Linked DNA regions of Arabidopsis thaliana. The protein of the gene in region 3 interacts with the protein of the main gene of each other region in a pairwise test. Each region holds a gene or a part of one and is shown on either strand. Other genes may lie near its edges.

Evidence for each region.
Region 1: the proteins of NF-YB13 (region 3) and AT5G19490 interact in a two-hybrid assay, tested with the Arabidopsis thaliana proteins (one large-scale study listed by BioGRID).
Region 2: the proteins of NF-YB13 (region 3) and AT3G50650 interact in a two-hybrid assay, tested with the Arabidopsis thaliana proteins (one large-scale study listed by BioGRID).

Annotation. Positions count from the first base shown.
Region 1 is NC_003076.8:6,575,863-6,580,357, forward strand, and holds AT5G19490 (Histone superfamily protein), read right to left. Parts: upstream 2,647-4,495; 5' UTR 2,412-2,646; coding exon 2,379-2,411; intron 2,031-2,378; coding exon 1,958-2,030; intron 1,855-1,957; coding exon 1,761-1,854; intron 1,676-1,760; coding exon 1,565-1,675; intron 1,463-1,564; coding exon 1,405-1,462; intron 1,333-1,404; coding exon 907-1,332; 3' UTR 648-906; downstream 1-647. Other genes in the region: AT5G19485 (transferases/nucleotidyltransferase), read right to left, coding at 70-147, 255-350, 425-490; AT5G19500 (Tryptophan/tyrosine permease), read left to right, coding at 3,157-3,478, 3,561-3,601, 3,704-3,796, 3,881-3,955, 4,042-4,091, 4,180-4,269, 4,353-4,409.
Region 2 is NC_003074.8:18,806,047-18,810,541, forward strand, and holds AT3G50650 (GRAS family transcription factor), read right to left. Parts: upstream 2,198-4,495; 5' UTR 2,055-2,197; coding exon 426-2,054; 3' UTR 93-425; downstream 1-92. UniProt on the Arabidopsis thaliana protein: Probable transcription factor involved in plant development. Involved in environmental abiotic stress resistance. May increase the expression of stress-responsive genes. Binds DNA in vitro.
Region 3 is NC_003076.8:7,746,634-7,751,128, reverse strand, and holds NF-YB13 (nuclear factor Y, subunit B13), read right to left. Parts: upstream 2,100-4,495; 5' UTR 1,852-2,099; intron 1,788-1,851; exon of another isoform or gene 1,747-1,787; 5' UTR 1,739-1,746; coding exon 1,684-1,738; intron 1,530-1,683; coding exon 1,440-1,529; intron 1,354-1,439; coding exon 1,190-1,353; intron 1,097-1,189; coding exon 926-1,096; 3' UTR 517-925; downstream 1-516. Other genes in the region: TGH (SWAP (Suppressor-of-White-APricot)/surp domain-containing protein), read left to right, coding at 2,240-2,374, 3,023-3,113, 3,190-3,284, 3,501-3,604, 3,685-3,746, 3,869-3,937, 4,082-4,221, 4,450-4,495.

The DNA.
Region 1 (4,495 bases), 1.2 Mb from region 3:
TATGACACTAGTTTCTTTCAATCATGCATAGAGTTTTACAGAATTCAGATGCCATAGATGAGTAAATACCTCAACATGTAAACGATCAACACAAGCAGAAGAAATCCATCCACCAACTTTCAAAGCAGCATCTTCCCCTTCAACAACCTGTTCCACCAATGCGAAACGAAAAAATCTGAGCTCTATTGAAAACATTCAACCTAGAAACTCGCAAAAGGAAATCAGTAATTGTATTGAAAAGATAAAAGGCGTACGACGATCAGATCCTTGAGATTACTACTCTCGAGAAGATCCAGAACGTAAGACAACACCGGACGATTCGCTACGGGAAGCAACGCCTTAGGAACTTCCTGAACAACAACAACAAATTAGCAATTCGTCGAAACTGTTATGCTGATGATGAGAGTGAAAGAGAGAGACGGACCTTGGCGACTAAGGGAACAAGATAACTAGAGAATCCGCCGGCTAGAATCACGACCTGGAAATCCATTGTCGCAGCTGAATTGACGAGAGAAGACGAAGAAGAGAGGTTTCTGCTTTCTGGGGTTTTGATTTTGAGAAACGGTAGACGAAGACGATATCAATTTAACCCGCTTGTTTCTTTCTTTTGGATCCGACGGGTCGTTCCATTAATCTTGGGTTATCTATCTCACTTAAATATTTTAATTAAAATTAAACATTAACAAAGATTAAACCATACTTTATGTATATGATTTTATAGTTTGTGTAAAGCTTGCTATCAAATTAGAAGAGATGAATGAAAAAAACGAAATTACATTAAAGAGAATGAGAGCAATCTCCTACATACACACTGCTTCTATAATATATAAGTGTGTCAATTCCTAAGTTGTTGTTTTCTTTCTCCTACCTTTAGTTTTAAGTCATTTCACCTAAACTGAAACTCTTTCACTCTTGGTCTATGCTTTCTTCATCATAATCTTCCTCGTCACTAGCACTAGCCTGTTGTTGATCATCAGGATCTATTTTCATTTCGTTAATCTCCAACGGGTAATCTGGACTTCTCTCTAGCTGTGTTTCCAGCCATGTAGCATTGTCTCCATTCTCATCTAATTCAACATTAAGATCGAAGTTCCTTACTTTTACCTCTGAGTTACTACTATGATGATTGTTGTGTGATGCAACTTTCTTCCAAGATGTATCGTCGTGAGAAAGGCTCCCGTTTTCGGGAGACGGGGTCCTGCTGCTTTCGGGAGAACCGTCTTCTAAATCTTCTTCAAATTTTAGAGACAGCCCACTTCCTGTTCTTCCACTACTTCGTCCGCGGCCTCTACCTCGCCTTCCTCTGCCACAGCTAGTATGTTTGACCTCATGCTGTAACAAGGCGAAACATATGCGTTAAGTAATATACAATTGTCTATTGGCAAAATAAGTCTGGCTAGTTACCATTTGAGTGGTCTTTATCATATCTTCATCGTTGCAACTACTTCCATCAACAACTTTCCTGAAAAGTCGAACAAACAAGTTGTTAGACACGATACCGATATCAAAATTAGGTAGATTGATTGCTGACATAGAATAGAACTATAGAAGAAGCGGGCCTAACCTTCTTTTGGTAGCTGATTGGTCTTCAGTGTCTGAGCCACCCAAATCAGGAACTTTAGCGACAGTGTCTCTTAGAAAATCAAAGACATTAGTCGCTTGCACACACTGCTTCCTGGAAAAAGAATAGAAAAGTATTGAAGAAGCAAGAAAACAATTGGTTTATATAAGCAAAATCCAAAGATGAGATTCACACTTACAAATGAAAGGCGTTGACAGTTTTAGCACCTCGGCTTAGAGTTACATCATACGTGTGATTACACAAGTCTTGTAAAAACAGCTCCAAAGCTTTAGCTGAAAAGTTAAATTCAAAACCAGAACAGATCAACTACATGTGACACAAGCTAACATATGAACAACGTTTGAGTAAGAAAATCAAAAACATCACATCACTTACAAACAAGAAGAGGGACTGCCATTGCTATTTTGCCAACTTCCTCATCAGTTTGCATAATCTTCTTAATCCTTGTCTGAAACAAATTTTGAACATATCAACACATACAAAATCAGACTCAGACACTAAGAAATTTCTTATGTAGATATCAACATCTTTGATTAGCCCTAAACAAGATATCTCTGCAGTTTATTTATATCTAGCCATGAACAAAAGAGCCCTCCAAGTCCAAAGATACATTCACAAAGATAAATTTAAAAACCTAATGAAGACAAGGACCATGGAACCCTGAAGAAGTAAACCTGAAATCATAGCAAAAGTTGAACCTAACTACTCTCACAACTCACAAAACAGAGTTCATGGTTATCTCCATAAGAAGAAGAACATAACAAACTATAAAACAGTGAAAAGTAATGTTTCATACCGCTGGAAAACGTGTCTGGAGCTTCTTCTTCATGCTATTGTTTTACAGAGGAATAGCAGCTTCCAAAGTCAAGGGGAAGAAGATAAAAACCCTAATTTTGAAATTTGTGTTGCTTGCTTCCGTTCTCTCTGGAATAAATAACAAGAGAAAATCAAATTAACAAATATATATATTGATTCCATCAAACACGACAAGAAAAGGAAAAAAAATAAATTCCTTTGGATCTGTTTTTTTCTAGTTAGAAATTGGTCTCTGTTTTCTGACCCGTCCTTGTCGGACCCAAATCATACGCAATTGGACCTTTTTTCTCCCACTCTTTTTTAATTTAATAATGAGATCTTATATTTTATTTTGCTTTTCATTTAACAAGTTTTATGTAACAATTATTTAATTTTGACAGCATGTATTATGTAACATTTAATTTGATTTATCACATGATATCTTAAGAAACCATAAACTCAAAATAAATAAAAATTATTTTTATAGAGTAAATTGTAAATTATACTTTATGTTTGCATTGCTATTCTTTTACTTGCATACAACTTTTGTATCATTGATGCAAATAGTATTTTCTAAAAGCAAAATAGAAGCATAAAATGCATAGATTTTAAATTTAATTGGGAAATAAAACTTCAAAAATAAGACAGCCACACATGTTAATCTGGAAGCTAAGCTCTCTCTAACACAATCTTTTGACTGTCGGAAGTCGCAGAAAACAAACCAGAAGACTGATCATAGGCTTTTCATAGCTAGTGTCTGATATCAGACAAACACAGACATGTCTGTGTCTCTAAGCTACACTTGTCTTCTTAGATTACCCACCTTTTCAGTTCCAACGAAACCCATTAGTTTCAATGGACCTCTCCCTTTTTATCTACCAAGATCTCATATTTCCTCATCTTGTTTTGGTTTCAAATCAAACCCATTCATAAGAACTCAGACCCCAAGATTCTTCAAGTGTTTGCCTCAGAGAGTGTCTGATGAACGCAGAGAAACACAAGTAACAACAGAAGAAGAAGAAGAAGATGAGGAAGAAAAGATTGTCGTATTTGAGAGGCTCTTCTCTAACCTGAATCAATCAACATTGAAGCGAGAATCCGGTACAAAGACTGTTACCATTTTGCATGTGAATACCCAAATTTGGATAGAAATTTTTGGTTTTTAAGTTTTAGAAATTTTCAGGAAGTTTGTCCAGTGCAATTTTCTTGGTTGCTGGCACTACCGTAAGTGTGTCTACTTTCTCATAACTCTGTCCATATTCTTGTTGAAACTATGCAAGGAATCAAGTTTGTTTTCTGCTAAACTTTTATCCTTTTCTTGATTAGGTAGGTGCAGGGATACTTGCGATTCCAGCTGTGACACAAGAATCAGGTTTTCTAGCCTCTGCAGTCGCCTGCATTCTCTGTTGGGCCTTCATGGTGATGATGGATGATTCTTCTTATCTCTGTTTTATGTTTCTTGCAAGTAACGGATTGGTCATTAGTAATACATGTTGGCTTCAGGTTGTGACAGGTTTGCTGGTTGCAGAAGTAAATGTCAACACCATGAGTGAACTAGGCTCTGGAGGCGTATCTCTTGTATATCCCCTCAAACCAATACTTCTATGAAAACTTAGCTTAGTTATTATGTCTTTAAACTCAGCTTTGACATGATATTTTGGCAGGTCTCAATGGCGAAGCGGACTCTTGGGTCTGTTGGAGTTCAAGTTGTTTCGTAATCATCCTCTCATTCTCACTTCAGAACTTGCTTTCCATCACTGTTTCTTTCATTTAAACTTGAAACAAGCCTTTCTGTTGTGTAGTTGGTCTTATCTTCTCATACATTACACCCTTCTTGTGGCTTACATTGCTCGGTCATCAGGCATCCTTACCAACTTCCTCGGCATTCCGATGTATGAAACTCCAATTGATCCTCATTTACACTGACACTTTTGAGTGTTGTGCTTCTGTACTTATTCCCTAGAATGTTCTGTAGATGGGAGAGTGCAACTCTATTCTCACTGATCTTCGGAGGCCTTTGCTTCTTTGGAAGGTTAGCTCTCCATATTAAACTAATCACTGATGCCACAATTTAAATCAGAAACTGTATAAACACAAGGAGAACCAGAGTGGAATAGT
Region 2 (4,495 bases), on a different chromosome or scaffold from region 3:
AACAAAACTATATTAGGCAAGAAAAAGTGGAGACAAAATGATGAAAAGGGAGAAGAAATGGTGTGTTAGTGAAAGATCTTAGTGCAATTCAAATTTCAGTCTCTTTTATGGGACCATAATACTCTCATTTCAAAATCAAACTTCATCACCTCCTTTCCTCAATTTCAGGGGTTAATTCTAGTGTTTTTTTCATTCACATGAATTTGGTTTAGCTTCTTTCGTTTATACCAAAGAAATCTAGTCAAATGTTACATACAATATATATTACAAATGAACATAAACGACAAACCATCATCACTCCAAGCACTAGATAAAAAAGAGTAAGAGAATAGGCTAGAGACTAATTAAACATCCAAATCTAACCCCAAACAATTCAATTCTAAAAGCTAACTCAAAATACTAGATTAACTTATCGGACCAAGTAGTCAACGCCAAGAGGAAACGGTGAGGAGAGGCACATTGTTCCAAGCCAAGGAGATGAAACCTGGCTCCGATTCAACAAGTGAATACAATGTACTATAATTGTAGTTCCATAGTAGCAGCTTCGCTTGGCTAACCGCGTAATTACTCGGTTTAACCGGCTCAAATCCAGCTTTCTCCATCAACACTCTCCATTGTTCTTTCTCCTCCATTAACCCAAACCGGGTTCCCGGTTTATTATTATCATCATCTGATCGGACCAAATCCATAATCCTCCTACCGAACAACACTCTCTCCACTCTCAGCCTTTCTTTCGAATCTCGATCCAAATTCGGTTCAAGCGATTCAAAAACCGCGGAATAAAACCGGAGAGAGTTCTTAACCCGGTTAGCAAATTCAACCCGGTTTAAACTGACTTCGTATTCTCCAAGCGTCACAATCCTCGGGTTTAACGATCTAGCTAACCGGAGCGCCGTACCAACAGTCGTCGCTGTTTCATCTAGAAGCTTATAAAGCTCAAGCATAAAATTCACAACCAAAACCTCATCCGGGTCAACCCGAAAACTTGACCCGTTTAGTAATTGAATCGGAGTCAGAACCGGATAAAACTCGAAATTGAGATCCAAAATCGCCGCGAAATCACGGAGACGGTTTCCCGTAGCGATCAGAGACGGTCCCGGTGAGTCTCCTAGAGACGGAGCGGGTATACCCGAAATCCGGATCCGGGTGGGTTTACCAGAAGAACGGGTCGCTAAAGCTTGTAACAGAGCAGACCATTGAATACCTTGAAAAATCCCGAAATCGACTATGTGAATGTTGTTTGATTGATTCGTAGCTTCGAGAATTGCTTGATTCGCTGTTAAATGAGCGAACTTTGAATATGGACATGCGTCGTTTAAGGTTTTGTATGAGAGAATGAAATCTTCTAGGGATGACGACGACGATGACGACGGAGACTCTGTTTCTTTATGAGACAGAGCTTCTGCGAAGTAATACCCGACTCGTTGTATCGGGTCGCCTGATTCGGACACGGATTCTTTGATCCGAATTAGTGTGTCCGGTTTAGTTTCCGGTTTACGTGCATAATCGTGGATAGCTTTAAAAATCGGCTGGTTTAGATCAAAATCCGGCTGCGGCGGGGGAGGAGGAGGATGTTGTGGTGATGGCGGAGATGGAGACCATATAGCGGTGGAAGCTGGTGGCGGAGGGAGTTGTTGACTCGCTGAGTCATCTTTGTTGACTCGGTTGAGATATGAAGGAGCACTGAGTCGACTCGGGAATGAGACGAATGGATCATGGCCGTAGATTGGGAAGTCTGGATTGGTTTGTGACGCATCTCCACCGTTGATCAAACTCTCCATCCACTCGTCGGAGTCAAACTCCTCGGAAGCGACGGCTGCGTTTTGATGATGCTCCAGGTGTGGAAAGTGAAAACCTGGGTCGTTGGTTACTTGAAACGGGTCGGAGAAACCCGAACCGGGAAGAGTAAACCCGAAGGATGGATTGGGCCAGGGGTTGGGTTCTTGTTCTTGTTCTTCTTGTTGTTGATGTTGTGATTGTTGTTGCTGCTTCTGTTTGATGAGTTGTTGTGCTATAGCCATTAAGTTTCCGCTGTCGGTGCACATATACGCCATTCTCCGACTCACTTTCGCCGGCGATGAAGGCGTTTTTTTGTCTGTTATTTGGTGGTGATTGAGTAAGGCCCAGAGAGAGAGAGGGATATGAATGAAACCGGAGAGATTTTAGTAGGAAGAAAAAAGTAAGAAAGTGAGTATTTTCATTTTGATTTATCATTTTCTTTTTTTTTGTCATCCGATTTATCATTTTCGAGTACTGTATTTTTAATCAATTACCACTTTAGTTTAAAAGTACAAAATTACGTTATTAACTGCAAGAAATGAAGAAACTATAAAACCAACAACAACAACAAAAAATGAAGAAACTAACTAACATAGTTTACTAAAAAACTCAGTTTTGTATTTAATTATTTTCAAGAATTTAATAATAGAAATGTAATTTATCAAAATATCAATTGAATAATTTCTATATCTCATGAATTTGTAGTTTCGTATAATCTTACAAATTTATTCAGAAACCTTTTGACCAAAAAATAAAAAATACATAGGTTTTTTTTTGTTAAATAATTATTACCACTCTGTTAATATGGGTAAAAAAAAGAGTTGACGTTATGAAAAAAAAGAGAGAGTAAAACGATATCTCACTTATGGGACCCACAGACACGATGACGTCATGTATCGGCAGTTACGTATCGAAGAGTGTGACCTCATCTCCACCGTCTAGAATCAGATCAATGGCTTTGGCTGAAATGGTGAATGTGACACGTCGACAACTGTCTTCTGCTACTTGTCACCTGCATGTCGCCTGCAACTTTTCTGTCTTTTTTCATTTTAACTAACAGTATTATAAAGGTAAAAAGATTGATGTAAGAAAAGTAAAAAGAATTAGGTTATTATCTTCTGCTTTCAAGCCGCAAAGGTCAAGGTTTTTCAAAGCTGTTTCTTATCAACTAAAAGGGTCGTTAAATTGGACTTTGGTTAACAAATTTCAGTGACTTCATTGGTTTAGTTTCAGTTACTTTTGTAAAAAAACCTTTCGACAAGTTAAGCTAACATCTTGAATATGACTTGAGCAAGCAAAAATTAAACAATAGACATGTTTTATTTGTATACGCATGTCTTTTTTATCTCAACGTTAGTGTTGTGGAGGACGGCTTGTGGGTCCGTAAGTAGGCCCATATACAATGGAGCAAAAGCGATTTGTGGCGGGCTCTACTAGTATCTGTTGTTGGTGGACGAACTTTGACGAAGAAAATGTAGTAGCCATTAGCCAAAAGCTAAAAATTACACAAAAATACCAAAAAAAAAACACAAGCAAAGAAGAAACAAGAAAAGAGTCCAAAGAGGATTATAGAATTTAAAAGTCTTTCAATAACAAACCAAGTTTTATGAATTATCATTCATACACGACGCATAGTTCGAGAATTTGCTTATTTGAGGTTTGAGTGTGGAAGCTCTTTGTGACTTTGCAATTTCTAAAAACCTAAAGCGAATGAAATAGAAAAGAGCAATAGCGAACAAAAAGCACATGGGAACGACACTTGACTCTTTGAGACATCACTCTTTTCATTTCATCGTTGTATCCGCGTCAAAAGGCCTACTTCTCCACTACTTATAACTTAAATATCTAAATTACATTACTAAACATGGTATATGGTCCCTGGCCCAAGTCTACTTTTGATTTTCACTTTTGACATTTTTTACTACAAAGTGCCATGGACTGTTCTAAATTGGTAATGATTTCAACAAGGAGAATGAAGAAGATGATATTTTTGAAAAGGACTTGTCTTTGAAAATGGCAATCCCACTTTAGTGTTTAACCATTGCACCTATCTGCAAGTGGACTTGGAGAAAATAGATAGAGAGAGAGAGAGAATGAGTGGTGTATGAAAAGGACATGAGTAAGAATGAAAGGGTTTGATTTGTCTTTTCTTTCTATCCAAGTCATCGGTGGGGTTTCTTATGTATGAACAAAGAGTGGCATTGAGTCATCCCCAAGAAAGTCTCTCTATATATTTACCATTTTTGTCACATTCTTTGCTTTTTTTTTTAAATACTAATTTTTAGTTTCAACTCTTACCAACTAAAATTTACCTATTTTTGTCTCCTCCTTAGCTTTTTACACTTATTTTCGTTTGAACCTTTAATTAACCAAAATATATTTACTATTTGAATCAGTTAAACAGAAATTATTAAGTCAGTAAGAAAAATATATATTTGGTGACGATTATCTCATACAAAACAGAAAGAGACTTTTCAAATGACAAGTGGCCTGTCCAAACACTAAACTTTTGTACCTTTTATTGACCAGCTAACTCACTTTCTCATCCAAATTTTAGTTAGTTAAAACAAAAAAATCTCAATGCTTTTCCTCGTTTTCTGAATATTATTCGGCTAACCAGAAAAGAAAAAAAATACTTGCGGGCCAAACCACGAAAATCAATAAACAAGGGCTTTTGGTTGGTAAGTCTCGATTTCATCACCGAGGGTGTTCATGT
Region 3 (4,495 bases):
TTAATGATGTCATAATTCATCAGTTTATGTACATTTTTAGTAAGAAACTAAAATATTAATGAACCATTTGTCTTTTGCTTTGTAAGGAACTATATATTTAATGAACAAATCAGTTATTTAGTACGAACAGATTAAAATTTGAGACTGGGAAAACTAGAGTCTATTAAATAATTTCATCAGTTTATGTTTTTTCTACTAATGACAAAGACAAAACATACAAACCAAGTCAGTTTTCCGGTTATCAATTAACCGAAGTATTTCTTCTAACTGGTTACCGAAAAGAAATTCAATTTGGTTTGGTTTTGGTTCCTTCTTTATTTTCTAAAATCGGTTCGTAATCATTTGCGAAACCCGATCAAATTTTGGTAAAAAACGGTCTAATAATGGTATAATCCGTTCTTTAAGAAACAAATAACTATCTGAGAAACCAATGTCGAACCGAACCGAAATTCGCAGGTTACTGAAGGCAAATTGAAAGTACGCCAATCGGTTCAGCCTAGAGAACCAAAACCTAGCCGAAAACCAAAAATCTATGTTTGGCTCAGTACAGTATTCTCGGTTCGCGTCAGAATCACAGGGCAAATGTTAACAACACTAAACAATGATTGCATTGTGTTTATGGAAAAACAATTACACCAATCACCAAATTTATCCAATCTACAAACATTAAGATTCCTGTAAGTCATCGAATCAGATGCTTTGTGTAGACCTGACCCACCATGCTTAGTCAAGACACAAGTAAACACAAAACAAGGAATGCTTACTAATTACATCTGAATCACAAGTGTTTTTAGATCGTGAAACACTAACTAACATATATCATACTAAGAGCATATAAACAGAGAACATACGCATTTGCAACTTACAAGGGAATGTTAAAAGGATGTTGTTTTTTCTTGCCTAACACTTACCCTTACGGTTTCAGTTAGCTTTGCGGACTTCTCTGGTCAGTTTCTGGATGTTCAGGTTGAGGAACCGAAACACCTCCATTCATTCTTGCACGTGCTTCTGCAAACATACGTTGTTGCTCAGCTGCTGCTTCCTCCTCAGTCATTTGAGCTCCAGGGTTCCATTTCACGCTCCTCTGTGTGTCCTGCTATAGAGTCACAAATGTAGGAAACGGTTAACATTAATCGTTTTTTCGTCTCCTCGTTATCAAGAGTAGGAGAAGAAAGTAGAGAATCATTACCATTGTTTCATACTTATGTTGCTCATACGCAGCATAGACTTCTTCAATGTATTCTCCAAAACCAAGAACCTGTAATGCCTTGAGAACATGCTCAGGAGCAATCGTCCGTTTATCCTCTTTGTTACAAACATCATTAGATTCTGAAGATACAAGATTTATAAACTCTGCAAAAAATGTTTTAAACCACAGTAAGAAAACCAAGAACTCTCACATATATAGATGAACTCAGAGAGAAACTATATGATCTTACCTACACAACATTCAATGAGAAGATCTTGAGCATCTCTTGCAACACGAACATCTGGTGGTAACATCTCCTTTATAATTTTAGTCATCGTAGCTAAAACAATAGAGAACAACAAAACATATTCTTAGCAAGATAATAAAAAAATGAAGTTTATGATGCTCATGAATCCTATAACCTTCAAGCAGAGTTATATATAGCTAGGTTTACAAATCCTCCTATTTAATGATCAATGAGCAATAACACTAACCTTTTGGAAGAGAAGCGTCTTCCTTGGATTTGCCGACTATATCCATTGGATCCATAGTTTAATCTACAGAATTCATCAGGTTAAAGGTGCTTGTACACGAAGATCTGCATAAAGAGCAAATCAAGGGGAGATCGGAAAAAAACGAGAAGATAGAGATAATCGACTCACCGTAACTGAGTCAACACGAACCAAATCGGAAAGTAGACGAGTCGCGGTGAGATCTGGCGCCGGGAAATCGATCGGATTGTACGGAATATAATCGGAGGGATTTTCTCTCTCCTTCGTCTTCTCTAGCAGAGTCGTTTAGGGCAAACGGAAGAAGCAAAGCGCGTGAATCACACTTTCTTTTACAACGCTTAGAGACGGCGCGTGAAGATAACTTTAACTTCCTTATAGCAATTGGATTTTAAAACAAAACTAATGGGCCGAAAAGAGACCCGAACCAGGCCCAGATATCTCCTCCATAATTCTCTGATTCTGCTTCTTCTTCTTCTCTCTGGGACTCGTTCAGAATCTCGAATTGCTGCTGCTCCTCTCGGTCTCGGTGGTGAAGACAATGGGGTCAGACGAGGAAGATTTCGTGTTTCATGGAACGCCAATAGAGCGCGAAGAAGAAATCGCAAGCCGGAAGAAGAAAGCAGTCGCTGGGGCTTCTGGCAATCTTAGAACTCTCCCTGCTTGGAAGCAAGAGGTGAGTTTTTCTTTGATCTTCTAGTTCGTCTATTTAGTTGCAGATGATTAGATAATTTGAGCTTCGAGAGACTCGCTTTGGCCATGAACATGGGAGTTTTTTCGTTGTGCTTGTTTTCGTGATTCTAACGTATTGTAGAGAGCTTAATAGGTTTTATGTCGAGTAAGGTAAGGGATAACTTTGAGGCATTCCCGTTTCAGCTTAATCAGCTTGAAAATTTGTGAGTATCCCGGAATGAAATTAACCTTAAGCAAGAAAATCGAAGTGAATGTCTCTACTGGAGCTGATTTAATACTCAAAATCATGCTAGACAGTTAGATTCTGAGTTTTTGTTATTTGCTGTGTTTGTTTTTGCTTATTAATGTATCTATGGATAGTTATTAGATTGATTATCTGCATTTAGGTGTTTGCCTTGTAGGCATTTTGAAATATGTATTTATGTATGTGGCATCTTCCTTGGTCTCTAATTGCAAACTAATTGAAGCAATCTGTGATGAAAATTTGTGTCCTTACTAATGGATGCATGATATTGCAAGAATTCGTTGTCCAGCTTTCCACTATGAGTTTTTACTGGAAATAAAGTCTATCTGTATATAGTTGTACTATTATGTGGAAAGTTGCTAACATCTCGAGTTTTACCATACTCAGGTGACTGATGAAGAAGGCCGTAGAAGGTTCCATGGAGCATTTACTGGTGGATATTCTGCTGGGTATTACAATACAGTTGGATCAAAAGAGGGTAAAGTTTACATTACCTGATTTTCAAAGGCTTTTTTATCTGTGCTATGCTGTTTACAATCTAAATCGTACTTCAGGCTGGGCTCCACAGTCATTTACATCATCAAGGCAGAACAGAGCTGGAGCGAGAAAGCAAAGTATTTCAGACTTTCTAGATGAAGATGAAAAGGCGGTATGTTTCATCTTTTTCTCCTTGTTAGATCTGTTAAAGCTTTATTTCGAGTTATTTTAAGCTTGTCAAAGTTTGATTACCGCATATTGCATGATTCTTCTGTTACTTTTATCAATGGTAAAATGGAGTGTGGATTTGGGAATTATATTTTGCTCTGTGGAAGATGTGCACCATATTTAACGATGTTACACCATTCTAAATCCTTTTCCATTTTAGGATATGGAGGGCAAATCACTGTCTGCGAGCTCACAATTTGACACATTTGGGTTTACGGCAGCCGAACATTCCCGCAAGCATGCTGAGAAAGAACAGCATGAGAGGTCTGTGTACTTATCTGTAGTCTGTTTTTTATAAGAAGTTGCTATCTATATATTTGTAACATATTGTTTCTGTATCACAGGCCATCAGCCATTCCTGGCCCTGTTCCTGACGAACTTGTTGCTCCAGTTTCAGAGTCAATTGGTTAGTTTCAATAAGCCTCTTTAATATTTTGCAAAAGTTCCTTTTCTTTCGTTTTCTTTATTTTCGAATGCATCAAGTGGAGAAATCCTGATCTCACATTTATGCTTCTTTATATTTTTCAGGGGTCAAACTTTTGCTAAAGATGGGATGGCGGCGTGGTCATTCAATAAAGGAAGTGCGTGCCAGTTCAGGTTTGAACTTGTTTAACATGCACTAATCCATAATCTTCTTTTGTGCACCAAGAAAAGCCGTCAATACTTTTTCTATTTTGGAAATTCACAGCAAGCTCTTTATTTCGTCTCTCTCTCTCTCTCTTTTATACCTTGTTGGTGCAGATGCTCGTAGAGAAGCTAGAAAAGCATTCTTAGCCTTCTATACTGATGAGAATACAAAGGAAACGCCCGACTCGCTTGTTTCTGAGACTGAAGTGGAAACTTCTCTGGGTGAAGATATTAAAATTTCTGAAAGCACTCCTGTGAGTCAATTTTCCTGTTTCTCTTTTCAAACGAGCTATATGTTGTTGATTGTAATCGCTACTGGTGTGATACTTCTATTAGTCATACTTTTCTTGAACTTCTCTTCTACTTTTTATTAACGTCGGACTGTGAATACTGCTTCTAATCTGCTGCTGAGCTTCTTCAGATATTACCCTTAGTTACATTGATTTTGATGATATCCTTTGTTCCCCCTTTATCGATTGCAGGTATATGTTCTGAATCCAAAGCAAGATCTGCATGGATTAGGATATG